4 linked regions of the Arabidopsis thaliana genome follow. The protein of the gene in region 1 interacts with the protein of each later gene in a pairwise test. Each region holds a gene or a part of one and is shown in the gene's direction. Other genes may lie near its edges. The genes, in order: AT1G01910, AT3G45160, CLE44 and MSBP1.

Region 1 (5,635 bases):
CCAAGAGACAAGTTATATAGTTGTACAAGATAGCTGCAAAACATCTTACCTCATTTCCTTTGTTACCATAACTGATCGAGATCTCCTTCTTTGGGATAGGACGTTGAGCAACTGCTTTACAGAATTGTAGCACTTAGTTTTCCGCATACAGATCAAAAAGAAGAGAGGAAAAAGAATGTTCTGTATTGTTTGATTGAAAAATTGTAGAAAGCTGAGAGGTAACACAAACAAATATTTGGCCAACCAGAGAGAAGGTACATGGAGAAAGGAACCCTAGATACTGATCCGATCCCATCAACTTCCCAAGTCGCCACAGGCTTCAAATCTATACTGCCATAACCATAGGTCATTATATCACATCACACTGGGATATACTCATTAACCATATCAACATTATGGAACGGAGAAACTGATAATAGAGTCTTTTTGAAACAAAGATTGGCATACCATGGTTGCAAAAGTCAATGCCAGGAACAAGCCCCTCAACCCATATTGTATCTCCGGATCCTACAGATGGCGCAGGTTGAGCCTGAATTTCTACCCATCAGAAAATGAAGAAACCCATGAAATTGTCGTTACATGATAGAATAATAATAATTAAAAAAGAGGCATTTCACACAGAATTCAGCAGACCGACGTTAATGACTTGCCTTTTTCCTCATTAGAATTAACTGGAGCCGTTTCAGGGGACTCACTTGTTGATGTGCATTCCCCGGTATCATCTTGGCTTTGTGGAAACACGAAAGAATGTGGAAGAGGAATATTCAAGGCGCGACTCCAGAATACAGAGTTTGCCCTGGCATAATTGAAAAAAGTCGCAAGATCACTAAGCAGCCCTTTACAAGACACAAAAGTCTGGTTCTACTAACAAGGAATAACACCAGTACCAAACATACCAGAGGAAGTGTTCAAAGGAGACCTTGCTGCACGAAGAGAGAAAACAAAATATGATTATCAATGAACAATAATTTGGTCTAAAAGTAGTGTAAATATGTCAACCTTTCGGAATCGCCATCCAAAATAAGAAGCTTTGTCACCAGGACCTCCACCTTGTCATGGTAAAGCGAGAGCAACTTCTTCTTCTGAGAATGAATACACGATGGTTATTGGGTTTAATAAATGAAAAGAGAAAATGTGGTTGCTATTTTAAGGACGATATGATAAGACAGGAATAAATGATCAAGATTGAGACCTGTAACTCGGTTGCGTGATACAAGTTAGTCCCTTTTAGCTCAAGGATGTCATCATCAGAAAACCAAAGAGGATTGCCAAATCGAGTAGGAAGCATATCAAGATACCTATCATATCATTTCTAGACAGATGAATACCCTTAAGCTTACGTAAATGTGTGCTAAGAGATTAAAAAAAAAACTTACGGCTTCCAAGAAGAATTGATACGAAGACGCTCCAAAGTGAGGAACAGAATCATGAGAAAGCGGTCATCAACTTGTCCTTGTTCGAACATTTTCTGACACTCAGGGCCCAGGAGAGGGTCCTGAAGAACTCTCATAGGGGTAATGGCCAGATCAAGCGGAACAACAAGCAAAACTTCTGAAAATTTCCAGAGCTGAATCAGAATTCAATATCAACTTTCCATACATATTCCCCGGAAAAAAACCCAGCAAGAAATGGTAAGAACAATACTATACCATCGGAAGCTTGAGTGGAGGTGGAAGCGAATATGCCAAATCCTTTTAGGGAGTCAGAATATTTGATGTTGCAGCCTCTTAATTCACCTCCATTCACCTGAATGAAATTAGATCGAAACACAAAATGCCATGATATAGAGCAGCAGATCAGGACTGAAAAACAACACTTAATCCGGATCTAACCTGAAGCCAATCTAGGAACCTTTCGAGTTTGGCTTCTTCTTCTGAAATCGCCATATCCTCCGGCGAAGATCAATATGCCGGCGACGGGTTTAACCGAGTAGAGAGGGGTTTTCAATCGTAACTCACAATACGCTGTCGTAATGGCTTCATCTATGTGGGCTTTTGTATGGGCTTATTTAGCGTTTATGAACTTAAACACACCAAATTTAAATTTTTAACAAAAAAAGAAAAATTGAACAAGTGAAAAACGATAACCAAAAAAATCAAACCAAGACTGCTGTGATATCCCAAAACCGAGAACCAAAATATTGAACCGGGCGGCGTTAAAAGTCTCTCGCCGCAGTTAAACTCTTCCGTACGCCAAATATCTAACAAGGAGCTCTTTAGATTGAGACTAGTGGAAGAGAGACGAGCAAGGAATTAGCAATGGCGGCGGATTTGCCGGAGGCGACAGTACAGAACATTCTGGACCAAGAGTCTCTTAAATGGGTTTTCGTCGGAGGTAAAGGAGGTGTTGGGAAGACGACATGCAGTTCAATTCTCGCAATTTGTCTCGCCAGTGTTCGATCCTCCGTTCTCATCATCTCCACCGATCCTGCTCACAATCTTAGTGATGCCTTTCAGCAACGCTTCACTAAATCTCCCACTTTGGTTCAAGGTTTCTCTAATCTCTTTGCCATGGTAAGCTTTCTCCGATTTTGTTCTAGATCGTGCTAGATTTTAGAGGGAATTTGGTAGTTTCGCTCCTGGATTTTAATCTCATTGGGAATTAGGGTTCTCTGATTCACGAATTTCAAACCGCAGATTGATGGATCAATTTTGATTTTGAAGTCAGATTTAGTACTTGCATAAATACGGTTGATTTGTGCCTTTCTTATCATATGCCCACTCTGATTTTGGGGATTAGGTTTGGAATTTGGACGCCAATTTGTATTCTTGATACGGAAGGGGATTGTGAAGAAGATTTGATGTCCCCAAATCAAATCGAATTTTTGTCTATTGTAGTTAAAATTCATGGCTAGTTATGCCAAATTCAAAAAAAAAAAAAAAAGTTGTTTTTTGTGGTTCTGGGTCGCCTCTAATAGACAGGCTTGATGATGACTTTATGGCTACTCTTCTAAGCTTGAAGCTCTTAGTTGTGTCTGTGTGTATATGTATATATATACACATACTATAAGCAAATGGTTACGATTCACACTCCTTCCCTCTTGATAGTGAGTGAATCTTGTTTGCTTTTCTCAGGAGGTAGATCCTACCGTTGAAACTGATGACATGGCTGGTACAGACGGGATGGATGGTTTATTCTCTGATTTGGCAAATGCGATTCCTGGAATCGATGAGGCTATGAGTTTTGCTGAGATGTTGAAGTAAATAGCCATTTAGTTCTTCTAGTAATCATCTGCCTTTATCCATGTATTATCACAGTCAAATTTTGATATGTTTATGTTTCCTTAGGTTGGTGCAAACAATGGATTATGCTACTATTGTGTTTGACACTGCTCCTACTGGACATACTCTCCGCCTGTTACAGTTTCCGGCCACACTAGAAAAGGGACTTTCGAAGTTGATGTCATTGAAGAGTAGATTTGGTGGCTTGATGACTCAGGCATGTCTTTAAGCTTGTCAAATTCAGTTTGCTTGGCAACAGATATTGCTCTTTGGTTTCTTCTTTGGCTGATTTTTCATGGAACTGATTGGTAATGCAGATGAGCCGTATGTTTGGCATGGAGGATGAGTTCGGAGAGGATGCTTTGCTGGGAAGACTTGAGGGCTTGAAAGATGTGATTGAGCAAGTAAATCGGCAATTCAAAGACCCGGTAACATTTTTTCAATTGTTTAAGTTCTTTGCTATTTTCAGTACTCATTGACTGTTTTCTTAACTCTGTTCGTGAAGTTTAGTTTTAGATTCTTCACATTGTTCTGTAGCATACGGTTTGACAGCATTCATTTGCATTAGTGAAAATTCTGATACATATCTAACAAACTCTGCATTTTAAGATAAGAAATTGACACATTTGGCTCCATTACGTAGGATATGACTACGTTCGTTTGTGTCTGCATCCCCGAGTTCTTGTCTCTCTATGAAACAGAGAGACTTGTTCAGGAACTCGCCAAGTTTGAGATTGACACGCATAACATTATCATCAACCAAGTACTATACGACGACGAAGGTGCCTATTTATTTGCTGTCGTGTCTATCTTCTCGTTTTGAACTTGTTTTACATACAAATTTGACGAATTATCTACACTTGTCTTCTGTAGATGTGGAGTCCAAGTTGCTCAGAGCAAGGATGCGGATGCAACAGAAGTATCTTGATCAGTTTTATATGCTATACGATGACTTTAATATCACAAAGCTTCCTCTGCTTCCGGAAGAGGTAAGAACGCATGACATTCAATATAGATGAGAAGGAACATGATCAAGACGAAAATGAAACTAAAGCCTTATATAATATACATCCTGAGATTTACACTTGTTGTGGATGTTTGGATCACAGGTGACAGGGGTTGAAGCCTTAAAGGCGTTTTCACATAAGTTCTTGACGCCGTACCATCCTACCACTAGCAGGAGCAATGTAGAGGAGCTGGAGAGGAAAGTACACACATTGCGTTTGCAGTTAAAAACAGCTGAAGAAGAACTCGAACGGGTCAAGAGTGGCTAAAGATAAGGCTCTGTTCTTCCCTTTAATTGTAAGTTTCTTTCCTCGCCATATTCTTGGAACTCACTTGCTTTCTACATGGGGGTCTTCTGGATCTGCGTTGTCATTTGGGTTTATTGTTGTTTATGTTTTGAACAATTTATAGGTGGAAAATTAAAACTGAATCTTTTTCTCTCTAGTTCTTCATCTAGCAACAACTCTTTATAGGACAGGAAAGAAGATCAAGCAGAATCTTCTTTTGCGTTGTTTTATTGTTATGCATTGGATTTGTTTTTATATTTGTAATAATCATGACTACATAGACTCATATCTACCAAGAAATCGTTGTTTTACGACTTAATCAGCTTTTTATATATTAAGTTGAAGGGTATCTGTGACAAGCGAATGCTATGATCTCTTGTAACAGCTTTTTATATACTGTAGACTGGTCTTGCAACAGAGAAGGAAAATTCATGTAAAAAAATTATAGTAAATAAGAGATGTTTTGATTTATTGACAAATTCTTACAAGTTTAGGGTAAGCTTTTGTTCAATAAGTTTCTTTGGTATATAATAAATATGAAAATGGCAATCAATAGATGCGAAATTTATTCCCACGTCACGGCGATTGGGCTTCTGACGTTGTATTTGTCACATATCCAAACCAAAACTCCAAAGGAAGACGAAGACGAATTTCTCGAAGCTTCTGCATCATACGTCACCGTATAACTCAACCTCTCTCTGGCCTTCTGGAACTTGAGCACCTTTGGTTCAACTCTCACCTTCACACCTTTTGGTTCCTCAACGTGCACCATATACTCACAAGTCGGTGACCCAACGTTAGTCACAGTCCTCTTATATCTCACCGTTTTCAAATTCGCGCCATTAACGAGGTTGACCGCGAACGAGGGATAGTTCAAATCACCGGGACTCAAAACGACGGCGTTACTAGCACACGTGTAGTTAGTGCCGGAGAACAAGAGTATTCTCTCACTCGTGTAGTTCAAGCTGCACAAGTAGTTGAGATAATCGACGGTGGAGGTATCGTATACCAGCCCGGGATCTACCGCTCGCGTGGGATCCACGTTTCCCGCTCCAAACGCAAACGCTGTGGCCGCCGATTCAGCTCCCGCGGCGCCTCTATCTCCGATCGGTCGGTTCCTAT
Region 2 (3,599 bases), on another chromosome or scaffold:
TGGTCGGATTATTTACTGTCCTACTAATATAAATTAATGTAAGTTGCCACCCATTGATACTAACCAAAAGCCAGGAATCTGTTATTAATTTGTTATACTTTATAATTTATTCCTTCAAGGGTTAATTATTAATGAATCAATTGGATTCCAACTTTTTGTAGTGGAAGAAAGATCACTGTGCTAACATTTACTTTCTCTTTGCACTAAAACAAAGTAAACTTCTGAAAACGAATATCTAATCTATTTCATCGTAATTATGTGAGTGATTTTCCTCTTTCCAATCTAGAAGCAACATGTAGACAAGTCTCACCAAAATTACTCTATGATCAAGACGTTAAAATTTATCGACCGCTCGAAAGGACCAATACATTGTTAGTCCCGCCCATTGGATCCGCATTATAGTGTCTCTTAGGGGCAAAACTCAAAGTCATTTCATAGACAATTTTTTTTTCTTTTTCGAATACTAAGAGGTTTTGGGCCGAAACCCGTAATCCTCCTAGGCCCGAAACCACGACATGTAATATTAATTTTGTCCCAAGCGTCACTCGAACCAGCGACCTCTAAGTTTCGCCCAGGGTTTTTACCAATTTAGCTAACGACACTTGGTCTTCATAGACATTTCTAGTATACAAAAACACATCTTCAACTCGTGTTGGTGAAAATGTCGTTTTGCTGGATATTTAGTGAACCAATTAGGGTAGCGATTATATCAACCAGAGAACAAATGGATTTTAATCCTCCGATGATCGGTAACAAATGTCGTACTAGAATATGTTCTTTGGGAGGTGGAATATGGGAAATAATGCCTCCTTTGACGACCTATTAGTCCGAGCAAATCTCAAAAAATCAATTCGAAAAGTATCCTATGCACGAATAGTAATCACTCAGGTGTTTTAGAAAAGTTTTAATCTATATATACATTTTTGCAGCCATTTTAGCAAATAAATCCTGCACTTGGACTTATTTACAATCTAATGCCATTAGCATTAAATCTTTTTTCCAAAATAATTAATTTTACTTTAAATTTTTGATTTAAATTGTCAATCATATTATGAATCAAATTTAATCCTACCAAACTTCAAATCAATCCCTTAAAATTAGCATAAACATATTTGTTAACAATATTTTAAAATAAAGTTTTTTGTTAAATAAATATTATTCTTACTAAACGTTTTTTTGTTTAAATAAATAAATTTTGTATTTGAATTTATTTACAATGTCATGTCACTGACATTAATTATTTATTAATGAAAATATTTAATTAAAGATTTAAATCTTCTAAATCCTTGCTTTTAGAGTTATTATGTCATTACCTTATAAACAAAAATATTATTTTTTTAAATATTATTATTTATATATTTAAAATTTATAAAACATTATTAATATTTAAACTTATAAAAAGTTTGATATATTACAATTTTTTAACATCATTATATAATATATAGAGTTTAAAAAAATCTTAATTTTTCCGTCATATTTTATGATTCAAAATTTTAAAAATGAACATATATTAACCAATTAGCAAAAAATGTGTGGGTTCAACGTCCCGCATCGACAAAAATATTTAGACAATGATTTATAAACATATCTTTAATAAGATCAACATTAATATAAATAAATGGTTTTTTTACGGGACGGATTTGGCGGGACGGGTTTGGCAGGACGTTACTTAATAACAATTGTAAACTATAAAATAAAAATATATTATAAATAGATACAATTTGCAAAAAAAATATTATACTAACTTTAAAAAGATAAATTGTATACCGCGGGATAAAATCTAGTTACTTTTACACTTTTGTAAAAGCACCACTTAATACAATGCTAATCCATAAAGTAACGTGGGTTTTCCCTATTCGTAGTGCCAATAATAGACAACCCTTTTTCAACCAACTTCATCATTTTGTCATCACAATTCTTTCCTTCTTAAGAAAAAATTTAATTCTCCAATAAGAGGCCTCTCCCACTTGTGATTGTCTCACCACTAGGCACCGGGGGTCACATCGTACCTAAATCGTATAATTTTAAAATATGATCTCAAATAGTCAACCCACCATAACAAAAACCCTATTCTCCTGCATGTATAAATATCAATGTCTTAAACTCTTATCTTTTTCCCTTTAAGGGTACTTAACTAAACCCATCAACGCTTGTTACGATTAGTTGCAAAGGTAAGTTATACTCATTTCATGTCAATATACTAAGATCTTCAAGGTTCTGTTTATGTAAAGACTATTCTTTCTTTCTTTTGCAGCTCATAATAAAACCAATATGGGGATAAACTCTAAGCATGTTGTGGTTGTTATTATGGTGATGATGGTCATTATAAGCTCATGTTTGGCTGCAAGGAATATAATTCCCCGGGAAACTAATCAAGAAAGCGAAAAAGTGTCCCGAGAGATGATCATAGGGAAAGAAGAAGACTCTACTGAGAAAATAGAGCACCCAAGAAGCAGCGTGGAGAATCACCATTATATCCCAAGACAAGATTTCTACAACTATGGACCTGGAGGCGAAAATAATGGAGGAGGTGGTGGTGGTGGATAACTCAAAAGAAATCGCGAAAACGATATCAATATGAATATATAGATGTTAAAGAAAAAAAAAATTATAAAAATAAAACCTATGAATATGAGGCAATCCTTCTATAAATCTGAACCTCTTAATGCTTTATTAAGAATGTCTAATTATGTTCGATTATTGTATTATCTTTTTTTTGTTCCCTATGTATAACTGAGTAATTCTATTTTGAAAAATACTTTCTTGCACTTTTTTGGCCATCGATGACCATTAGAACCGTCAGAGTTGCTTGAAGCTGAAACCGTAGTTCCCTAAACAAAAACTGTTGATACTCAAATCATACAATTCATGTAAAGGTTTAAGGAGAAGGACGGATAATCTCTTATAAGACGAATTAGGTTTGGCGAATACAAGATTATACAAGGTGAAGGTACGAGTTTACAAGGACAATCCGAGAAGACAATGTATCCAACTCGTTTGAATAAAGGTGCAAGAATGACGGACAAGGCGTTTGGTTCGAAAGATGTTCGTACGTACTAACGATTAAAAAAAGGCTTCCTAGGAACTCAATGGGGAAACTTGTACGAAGGAGATTACATGTACTCTCTACATATGTGTCAGCGTGAAATTCGGGATCCTTTCTCGACAGTGTTTTTCCGCTTTTATAGGGAAGATATATGCGGTCATGAACTCGGGATGATTTTTCTTTTCTGCTCCCAGCAAATTGACGATACTTAATGGGCTGAGCTTGTGTAACGGACCAAACGCAAGTCTCTTTCTTATGGGCCTAACTATATTTGGGCCGGGCTTTTTGGAATGGGGCGGAACCCATGTCCAACAAAAAAACAGAAAACTAAAGTATTAATATATGTTGCTAAAAGAAATTTTAATTGTTAAGAAAAATCTTGTTATTCATGGAAAAAGAAAATAAGTTTTTCTTCAAATTTTATTAAACATGGTATGATTAAATTTATTTTTATACTATAAACTATATAATCTCTTTTTCTAGCTTAAAGTGAGCTGGAATTTTCTTTAAGAATTTTAAACCATTTTCTTACTCAAGTTTTTTTTTTTAATCT
Region 3 (3,964 bases), on another chromosome or scaffold:
AACAGACTAGCAGTAGCAGGTATGAGTTATTGTCATCAGGGACAATAAAATATCAATCCCACAATGGTAAATTGCTATTTGCTATATGTATCAATTTTTAAAAACTCTGTTATGAACTACGTATATACCATGAACGTCATCGATGGGGAATGGGCCAATTAATGGCAGAAAAAAAAAACTTAACTTAAACAAAAAAGGAAATGATATATAAAAAAGAAAAATTAAAAGGAAAAGAGATGAAAAAATGACGATAATGAGCACGAAGTACTATCGTTCTCGGGTGCACGATACCGAGAAAATTTTGGGACCCATATAATACACGTAAACGTATGGAAACAATCATGCACTCTATACTATTCCAAAATCGAGTAATATAATAAGTTCATTTATTAATATTCTTGTTCATGCAAAGACAAATTTAAAGGTATCACTGGATATTGCAGCTGCATGCTTGAATGCTTCCACCACCTTATATTCTTTGTTTTTTCATCTTAATTAGGTTCCCTAATCGTCGAGTATATAGGTTGATAAGCACATACATGAGAATATAGACATAGGTGATAACGTGAAGATATATCCTCAACCATATTAAATAAAAAAAGCCATTGCTTGTACTAGGGGATATCATGAGTATATGATTCCTTTTTCCTTTAATATTATTCATTAAAAACCTATGTTAGCTATTCGTTCTGTCATAGCAATTGATATGACAAAAATTTGGTCTTCACGAATTCAATCAAATCTAAGTAGCATGCAAATATTTTATGAAAATATATAGTCGTTTGCTTTTATCTCTATTACGGTTTCTCTCGGGGTTTTCATAAAGGAAATATGGTGTACAGTATTTTTGGTAATATAGTGAGGTGGTCACATGTAATGGATTCAATCCACCTTCCTCCCTCGTGGGGTTTAATTGTGTACATAAAAATACACTCTTATTATAAAAAAAAACTTAAGTTGTCTAATTATTATACCACCGAAAATGGAACATTAATTGACAATGATGCTTTCAAAAAACAAACCTTTTACTACAAGATAATATTGAATAATGTAACTAAAGTAAAACAATAACAATTGATCTTGCAAAGTTGCAATGTGTTTGTAATTTTTAATATTGTACTCACTATCTTCGAGTCTCTTGACTAGTTTTTAATGGGACATTATTTTAGACACGCAATATCTATAATCGGCGAAGCGTAGTCAACATAACATTTTCTTAGGTAAGCAAGTAAAGCTACAAAAAGTCTTGAGAAATAAATCAAAAGGAGGAAAAAAGCATGAAAACCTTCTTTATTTCACCTAGTCTCTTTTGCTTTTTTCTCCTTAGCTTTCAAGATTCTTTGCCATAGCCAATTGACCATTACATGCTTTGGCCTTTTCCTCGATATTTTCCTCTTCTCCAGTGGCAGTCCTACCAAAAAATTAGAAACATTCATAGGGGGCAAAACCGTAACCTAACCAAAGAAAACCTGAACTGATAGTGCATCTTATTCAAAGCCCTACTCTGTCCCATGTATATGTCTCACACTCTTCAAAGATGCTCACATAAAAGGGCTCTTTAGTAATTTGATACCTCGTGCAATATCTGCCACACTTTTTTTATAAGCAGGTGTCCCATTTTTTTCTTCAAAGGCTGAACAATCTTTGATGCGATGTTTTCCAACAACATCTTTATTATACCATTATTAGATTAAAGTGCGTGTGTGGAAATTTGAATATCTCTCTCTCTCATAATTAGCTCATCAAGCTCCTCCTTCATTTTCTTATTCGTACTAGATTTCTCTTTTGCCTTTTTATTTGGTAGAGCTCTGCTGGTTCATGGATATTGAGCCCTGCTTGAAGTTTTGGGGGGTGTTTTTTTCTTCTTTATAATTGCATGGCAACTACAATTGATCAAACCAGCATCAAGTCATTGCATTTCCATCAAGTCATCCGTTTGATCATCACAATCATCTTCTTAGCTTTCTTATTTCTCATTGGCCCTACAAGTTCCATGAATCATCACCTTCATGAATCCTCATCTAAGAACACTATGGCTCCTTCCAAGAGGTTCCTTCTACAACCTTCCACTCCATCTTCATCTACTATGAAAATGCGTCCAACAGCTCACCCTAGACGCAGTGGCACTTCTTCTTCTTCGGCGAGGAAGAGGAGGAGAGAGTTCAGAGCTGAAGCTCATGAGGTTCCAAGTGGTCCAAACCCTATCTCCAACTAGGTGAGCAACCGGTTTTTTGGGTAAGGTAATTTAATTAATTAAATATTTGGGGTGTTTGGAGATGAGTTAATGTATATTATTAATATTGAATTTTGTAATGGATGGAGAGAATTGTCATGGATTCTTAATTATATATCTATGTTTCCTTTACGAATTTCCCTTCTTCGTTTATTGAAATCTTTTGATCTTCGTCTTCTAAGTTTTGGAAGTTAGCATTGTATGAGAAAAGGAGAGACAAATACTTTTCACATGTGTATGTATCCATCTGTATATAATTCCCTCACATTTCTGTTTTATTTCTTTTATATATTTAGTGATGCATGTATATATAATATATCTATAATTTTAAACCAAATATATATATATATATATATATATAAATGGGGACATACGAATGATAATATGCCAAAAATCAATTGGCTGCTTATTATATTAGAGCTTATTCTATTGGGTTACTCTCAGAGAAAAAAAAATAGTTGAACACAAGAAAATTTAAAATCTACGGTAAATAATTTAAGAATGTGGAATATACATTATTTCATTTTAACGACACTTTTATACTTAACGATACAATTTTAAGAGTAAAAAATGGTTTGAATAGTTATATATCAAAATAAATACATGTTTAGACTAAGTTGTATTCTATGGATTATTAATCTCGGTTTAAGGTGGTTTTTGTTAAGTCATCGGTTATTAGAGTTTCACGTCAAAAAACTGTGAAGTGGATGTTTAAGTGGTGTGCATACAAATTTTTAACCTATTTGACCTATTTTTACTCTTTCTTTTTTTTAACCTAGAAAAAAACTATTTCATTAAAATTAAAAATAGTTTAGACTTACGATGTGAATATTATACACAAATGATCTCATGACAAAAAAGTAAAAAAAAAAAAAAAAAACTAAAACAATAATTCATAAAAAAAATTATTCCCTATTTTTACTTTTCAAGCACCAAGGATGTAGAATATAATTTACATCAAAAGTTTGAACCCGAAATTATTCCCATTTGCGATCTGAACAACTAGTGAAGCCCAATTTTGGTAAAATTGATTGAATTATTTTTAGGTATTCGTTTCTTTTAGCGATCTATTAGACTTAAACAAGCTAAACAAAAAACAATAGAGATAACAAAAACATACTAAAAGAAGAAGTCAACATTAATTAGGATATCTGGTAATAATTAAGAATCGTAAATTATTATTGGAAAACGTTAGTAAAGATTCTCTGTTCTACTAATATCCTCAACCCTAAGTTGTTTTCTAACCAAAAAAAAAAAAAACAGCCTGCTCACATCTCATCATGAAGTTGTCTTTTTAGTTCTTGTTTCATCGTCAAACATGTCTTCTTTCTTAAGAAACATCTGAATTTAACAACAAAACATAATCAACTATTAAAGTCTGGATAAATAAATAAATAAAAACAGGGTTTGTAGGATCTCTGGCATACTTTATGTTGTTCTTGTGAAATCCATCAAGAAAATTTTCAAAATTTATTCTTAAACTAACAAGAGAGATCCTACAAAACTAAATTTTAGCTTAGGTTTTTGGATTCTTTAGAAATGAGTTGTTTCTTGGGTCCATCGACAAACAACAAAAGTAGGGAGAATGAAGGCTCATCTATGGCTGCTCCTTATGAACAACAAAACCTACCACGTAAGCTCTCTAGTCGTATAAAACTTCGAGAAATCGGTCATTTTTCGTTAACATTTTCCAACTTTGTTAACAGGGAATGATCGTAGGCAGATAACAAC
Region 4 (4,498 bases), on another chromosome or scaffold:
AATATAAATGTGATTCATCTCAAAACTTTCCCTTTGCATACGCGAGAGGTACAAAGTTTTAGTGCTTACGAATATTACAGTATTCTCTCGAAGATGGTTACTTAACAATCCAAATTCATTTTCACAAGATCTATTACTCTTAATGTCTAACCATCTCAGTAAAGTAACCATATAATTCCTTTTCACACGAAGTAAACTAAGAGACAAACTTTTAAAAATTCAAGAAAAACTTAAAAAAAATAAACATCTCCAATCATGCACACAAGTAATAAGAGCTTTCTAAGCCACAGTGGAACCAAGTAAAATCAATTGAGTTCAAAATGTAGCTACATAACAAAGCTTTGATCAAACTACATCATCTATAACAAAACAAAAAGTCAGGTCAAGACCATTTTCAGACACTTAATCAACTAGACCTCTTCTCTTTTGATCACATGTCATCTTTCCCTAAAAGCTAAGCATTGCATGCAAGAGAAAATCACTCAAACGTCACAAAAGACTTCACCTTTTTCCATCATTACAAAATCATACAATCAGAAACTAAGAGTGAATCAAAGTATTTGGCACTTCAATAAAGATAACTACAATTTCCACAAAAGGAGCTAACAAGAACCAAACATGCAAAAGACAATCAAAATTAAGAAAAGGGTTTAAAACTCATAAATCACCTTATCCTTTCTCCCATTCTTCCTCACTCTAATTTCCACTTTCCTCTCAGCCGACAAACCATCAGAGATCCCTTCTCCGTTCATCTCTCCGGTCACCGTAAAACCACTTTCCTCTCTCTCTTGTATCCCTGATTCACAACTCAGAATGGTTTATCAACTCAAAACGCCAAAACCCATCAAGAATTGTCGGATTCAGATAATGGACACCGTCGGAAGTTATAAAGAAGGAACCTTTTTATTTTGTCTGATTGTGTGATTTGGTTCTGTCTCCACTAAGGTAAATAAGAAAAATAGTAGGATTTAATGGGGAAGAAGAAGAAAGGGTTTACACGTGTAGTGTGGAGGAGTTTCAATGGAGATTCCCCGATTTGAGAGGTTCAAGAAAACTCAGTCCACCAGCACGCGAGTCTTCTGGCCCAACGCTTCTCTTCTCTGATTGCAATTTAGCTCATTTTCTCCATTTTATTCTCTTGTACTGTTTGTTGTTTACTTCCATTGTTATTGTCCCAATTTTAAAAAAACTTACACTGTATATTAAAAAACATTTGCTTGATTTGGTTATAAAATCTAATTGCAAATCTATTTATGATGATATTTTTTGGGAAACATTTAAGACTTTGTTATCATTTTTTGACCCAAAAGAAAAAAAAAATGTTATTATTGTAAATGTTAGGATTGGAAGATTTATCATGAGAAGAAAAGTGAAAAATACTAATATAGTCAATTATGAATTTTCATAAATCTGAATTAAATATAATTTATTTTTACTTAATATATAGTTTTAATTACTTTTTGTTTAAATTTATGTTATTAAATTTGGTATTTGTATATCATGTTTAAAAGATTTAGAAGTATGATTTTATTCTATTTCTAGTGATTTAATTATTGAAACTTTGATTTTTAAAAAAGTTTATGTATTAATAAATTATTTGGATTGAAGGTTATATCAATGTTATAAAATGTGTTTTAAAATCTGAAAAGTGGTTGATTTTTTCTTTTTAAATTCTGCATCCACGAAACTTATTTTTCTTAAAACTTATTTTTCTTTTCGAGGTTATGATTCTTTTTAGTTTTTTTTATCAAATTTCATGATGAAAATAACTGAATTGAACATCAAAGATTTTCAGAAAATACTCTACTGCTTTTTTCTTAACTATATTCTAGCCATTTACATATCTAAGCTTGATGTCTTTTCTATTTCGTCGAAAATCTATCTATTTTACGGCAGAGACTTGAAACCCGAATTTTGACATATCAAAAACACTAACACAATCCCATGTACTACATTATCATTTGTATTTTACTTATAGAAGAAAATAACTTTTTATTTAAAAATTGTATGGTAAAAATAAAGATTAGTTCCCTAATAACTATATAAAAAATCTTATTCGGTCGTTTTAGCTGTATTTAACTTTTAAACCCAAGAAAGAAAAAAATCAATCAACCAAGGAAGTAGTACAACAACAAGAGTCAAAACCCAACAACTCTCTATCTAGCACAAAAGCCTGACTTTTACAAAGACAAGCCTTTTCAACACACTACTGATCTTGAGAATCCTCTCTTCAAAGCCATGGCGTTAGAACTATGGCAAACTCTCAAAGAAGCAATCCATGCTTACACAGGTCTTTCTCCTGTTGTCTTCTTCACTGCTCTAGCTCTCGCCTTCGCCATTTACCAAGTCATCTCAGGCTGGTTTGCCTCGCCGTTCGATGATGTTAACCGACATCAGAGAGCTAGATCCTTGGCTCAAGAGGAGGAGCCACCGATTCCTCAGCCTGTTCAAGTCGGTGAGATCACGGAGGAGGAGCTTAAACAGTACGATGGCTCTGATCCTCAAAAGCCCCTTCTTATGGCTATCAAACATCAGATCTATGATGTTACACAAAGCAGGTGAAATTTCTGAATCTAAAAAGCGAAATTAGGTTATGGGTTTGATTCATTGTTTCCTCTAATCTTGTTTTAGCGTATAAAGACTTGGACTTTGCATACTTTTATGATCTATAAAGCTGTGAGAATCGTAAAGTTGTTCACTTTGAGAATCAATTTCACAAAGGAGTTTTGTTTTGAGAATCAATTTCAGAAAAGCACATTGGAAAAGTTGATCCTTTTTGTTACTTTTATACAAGAGAAAGATTCAAAGGAATATGTTTTTGTTGTTGATGTTTGCTAGTGATTGAGATCATGTTGTGAAATATCTTAGCTCTATCTTCGAGTATAATCAATCTCTTAGACTGGTTTTAGTGTCTCAAGTGTTGTGTTTGTAATGAAAGGTTGGATTTTTATTGTCTTCCTCAAATCTCGTTTTACTCTATAACAACTTGGACTTTGCATAGTTTTATCTATGAAGCTGTGATATCCATAAAGTTGTTCACTTTGAGAATCAATTTCACAAAAGTTGTGCTTTTCTATGTAATCGAGCTTTTGAGTGGCATAGTGTTAATTTACCCTTTTGCTTCCTTCATACAAGAACAGGATTCAAAGGAAGTTGTAATATGTTCTTGTTGTTAATGTCTGCTTGTGGTTGAGATCTTTAGTGAAAACTCTTTGTTAATCTTTGAGTATAATGAATTGATCATCTTCTTATGATAGTCTAGTCTGGTTTTTGCGTATTTAAATTAAATGTTGTGTTTGTGATGAAAGGTTTGATATTTATTGGTTTTGTAGGATGTTCTACGGACCAGGAGGACCATATGCTTTGTTTGCAGGGAAAGACGCTAGCCGAGCTCTTGCAAAGATGTCATTTGAGGAGAAAGACTTGACTTGGGATGTCTCTGGTCTTGGTCCCTTTGAGCTAGATGCTCTTCAAGATTGGGAGTACAAGTTCATGAGCAAGTATGCTAAGGTTGGTACTGTCAAAGTGGCTGGTTCAGAACCTGAAACCGCATCTGTCTCTGAACCCACAGAGAATGTTGAGCAAGATGCTCATGTAACCACAACGCCTGGGAAGACCGTTGTTGATAAGAGTGATGATGCTCCTGCTGAGACTGTGTTGAAGAAGGAGGAGTAGAGCCCATTTCCAAGATTTGCTCTGATTTGTCATAGAGACCAGTTTTATGAAAAGGATTGTAGAATCTCTAATGTTGAAGTGTCAATGATAATCTTGTTTTACTTTCCCAAAAAATAAAGATTGCTGATTAATGATAAGAAAAAAATGTTTTATAAACTGCATATCAGAAGGCGTTGCATTGCATGATTACAATGTAGTCGAGTTCATACTTGTGGTTTGTGAATCTGCATGATTAATCTGGAAACTAAAACATTAAACCTGATCCTTTTTTTGTAAATTCTCTTCATCCTTTTGGTTACTACTATAGGAAGTTTTTAAGTTGGTCACTAAATCCATATCAATTGGGAAATAGAGTATTCAATTGTGATCCTCGATGTTTAAGAATTGGGGCAAAGAAGACAGTTGACCACGTTCTTCTGAGTGTTCCTTGCATTGCAGATATGTGCGCTCGATCTCCTCAGCACTATGGAAATTTCGGTGTCGTCGGTATTTGCAAATTTGGATATTCTTTTCTTGGAACAACCTGGCTCTTCAAAAGATTTAACCTTTCCATGGATTATTTGATACATTGGAAGGCACGTAATGATAAGGTTTTTAATGATACATTTGAGAAACTGCACAGCTGCAAGAACATAAGACAAGTACCTTTGAACAACGGTCTTTATTACAAAAACTGGAGTTTGAAGTCACAAATTAATGTTTTATAAAATAGTTCATTTTTTTTGGTAAACATGTGAAGATTTTATAGATAGTTGATGGAAGGAGACTCGATATGTTTTCAAATATAGGTTGGATCGGTTTTCATAACGACATAGAAGGATCT

Evidence for each region.
Region 2: the proteins of AT1G01910 (region 1) and AT3G45160 interact in a two-hybrid assay, tested with the Arabidopsis thaliana proteins (one large-scale study listed by BioGRID).
Region 3: the proteins of AT1G01910 (region 1) and CLE44 interact in a two-hybrid assay, tested with the Arabidopsis thaliana proteins (one large-scale study listed by BioGRID).
Region 4: the proteins of AT1G01910 (region 1) and MSBP1 interact in a two-hybrid assay, tested with the Arabidopsis thaliana proteins (one large-scale study listed by BioGRID).

Annotation. Positions count from the first base shown.
Region 1 is NC_003070.9:312,455-318,089, reverse strand, and holds AT1G01910 (P-loop containing nucleoside triphosphate hydrolases superfamily protein), read left to right. Parts: upstream 1-1,999; 5' UTR 2,000-2,258; coding exon 2,259-2,513; intron 2,514-3,074; coding exon 3,075-3,199; intron 3,200-3,287; coding exon 3,288-3,438; intron 3,439-3,538; coding exon 3,539-3,649; exon of another isoform or gene 3,650-3,864; coding exon 3,865-4,003; intron 4,004-4,094; coding exon 4,095-4,210; coding exon of another isoform or gene 4,211-4,218; intron 4,219-4,330; coding exon 4,331-4,495; 3' UTR 4,496-4,936; downstream 4,937-5,635. Other genes in the region: AT1G01920 (SET domain-containing protein), read right to left, coding at 50-111, 245-325, 448-529, 634-796, 897-923, 1,000-1,082, 1,193-1,298, 1,377-1,551 and 2 more; SBTI1.1 (subtilase family protein), read right to left, coding at 5,079-5,635. UniProt on the Arabidopsis thaliana protein: ATPase required for the post-translational delivery of tail-anchored (TA) proteins to the endoplasmic reticulum. Recognizes and selectively binds the transmembrane domain of TA proteins in the cytosol.
Region 2 is NC_003074.8:16,532,603-16,536,201, reverse strand, and holds AT3G45160 (Putative membrane lipoprotein), read left to right. Parts: upstream 1-1,936; 5' UTR 1,937-2,171; intron 2,172-2,254; 5' UTR 2,255-2,271; coding exon 2,272-2,547; 3' UTR 2,548-2,774; downstream 2,775-3,599.
Region 3 is NC_003075.7:7,660,915-7,664,878, reverse strand, and holds CLE44 (CLAVATA3/ESR-RELATED 44), read left to right. Parts: upstream 1-1,617; 5' UTR 1,618-1,876; coding exon 1,877-2,215; 3' UTR 2,216-3,087; downstream 3,088-3,964. Other genes in the region: AT4G13190 (Protein kinase superfamily protein), read left to right, coding at 3,773-3,866, 3,940-3,964.
Region 4 is NC_003076.8:21,210,883-21,215,380, forward strand, and holds MSBP1 (membrane steroid binding protein 1), read left to right. Parts: upstream 1-2,057; 5' UTR 2,058-2,238; coding exon 2,239-2,558; intron 2,559-3,332; coding exon 3,333-3,675; 3' UTR 3,676-3,729; coding exon of another isoform or gene 3,730-3,737; 3' UTR 3,738-3,960; downstream 3,961-4,498. Other genes in the region: MBD13 (methyl-CPG-binding domain protein 13), read right to left, coding at 669-752. UniProt on the Arabidopsis thaliana protein: MSBP1 can bind to multiple steroid compounds with different affinities. Negatively regulates cell elongation and brassinosteroid signaling. May act as a coreceptor with BAK1 and enhances its endocytosis.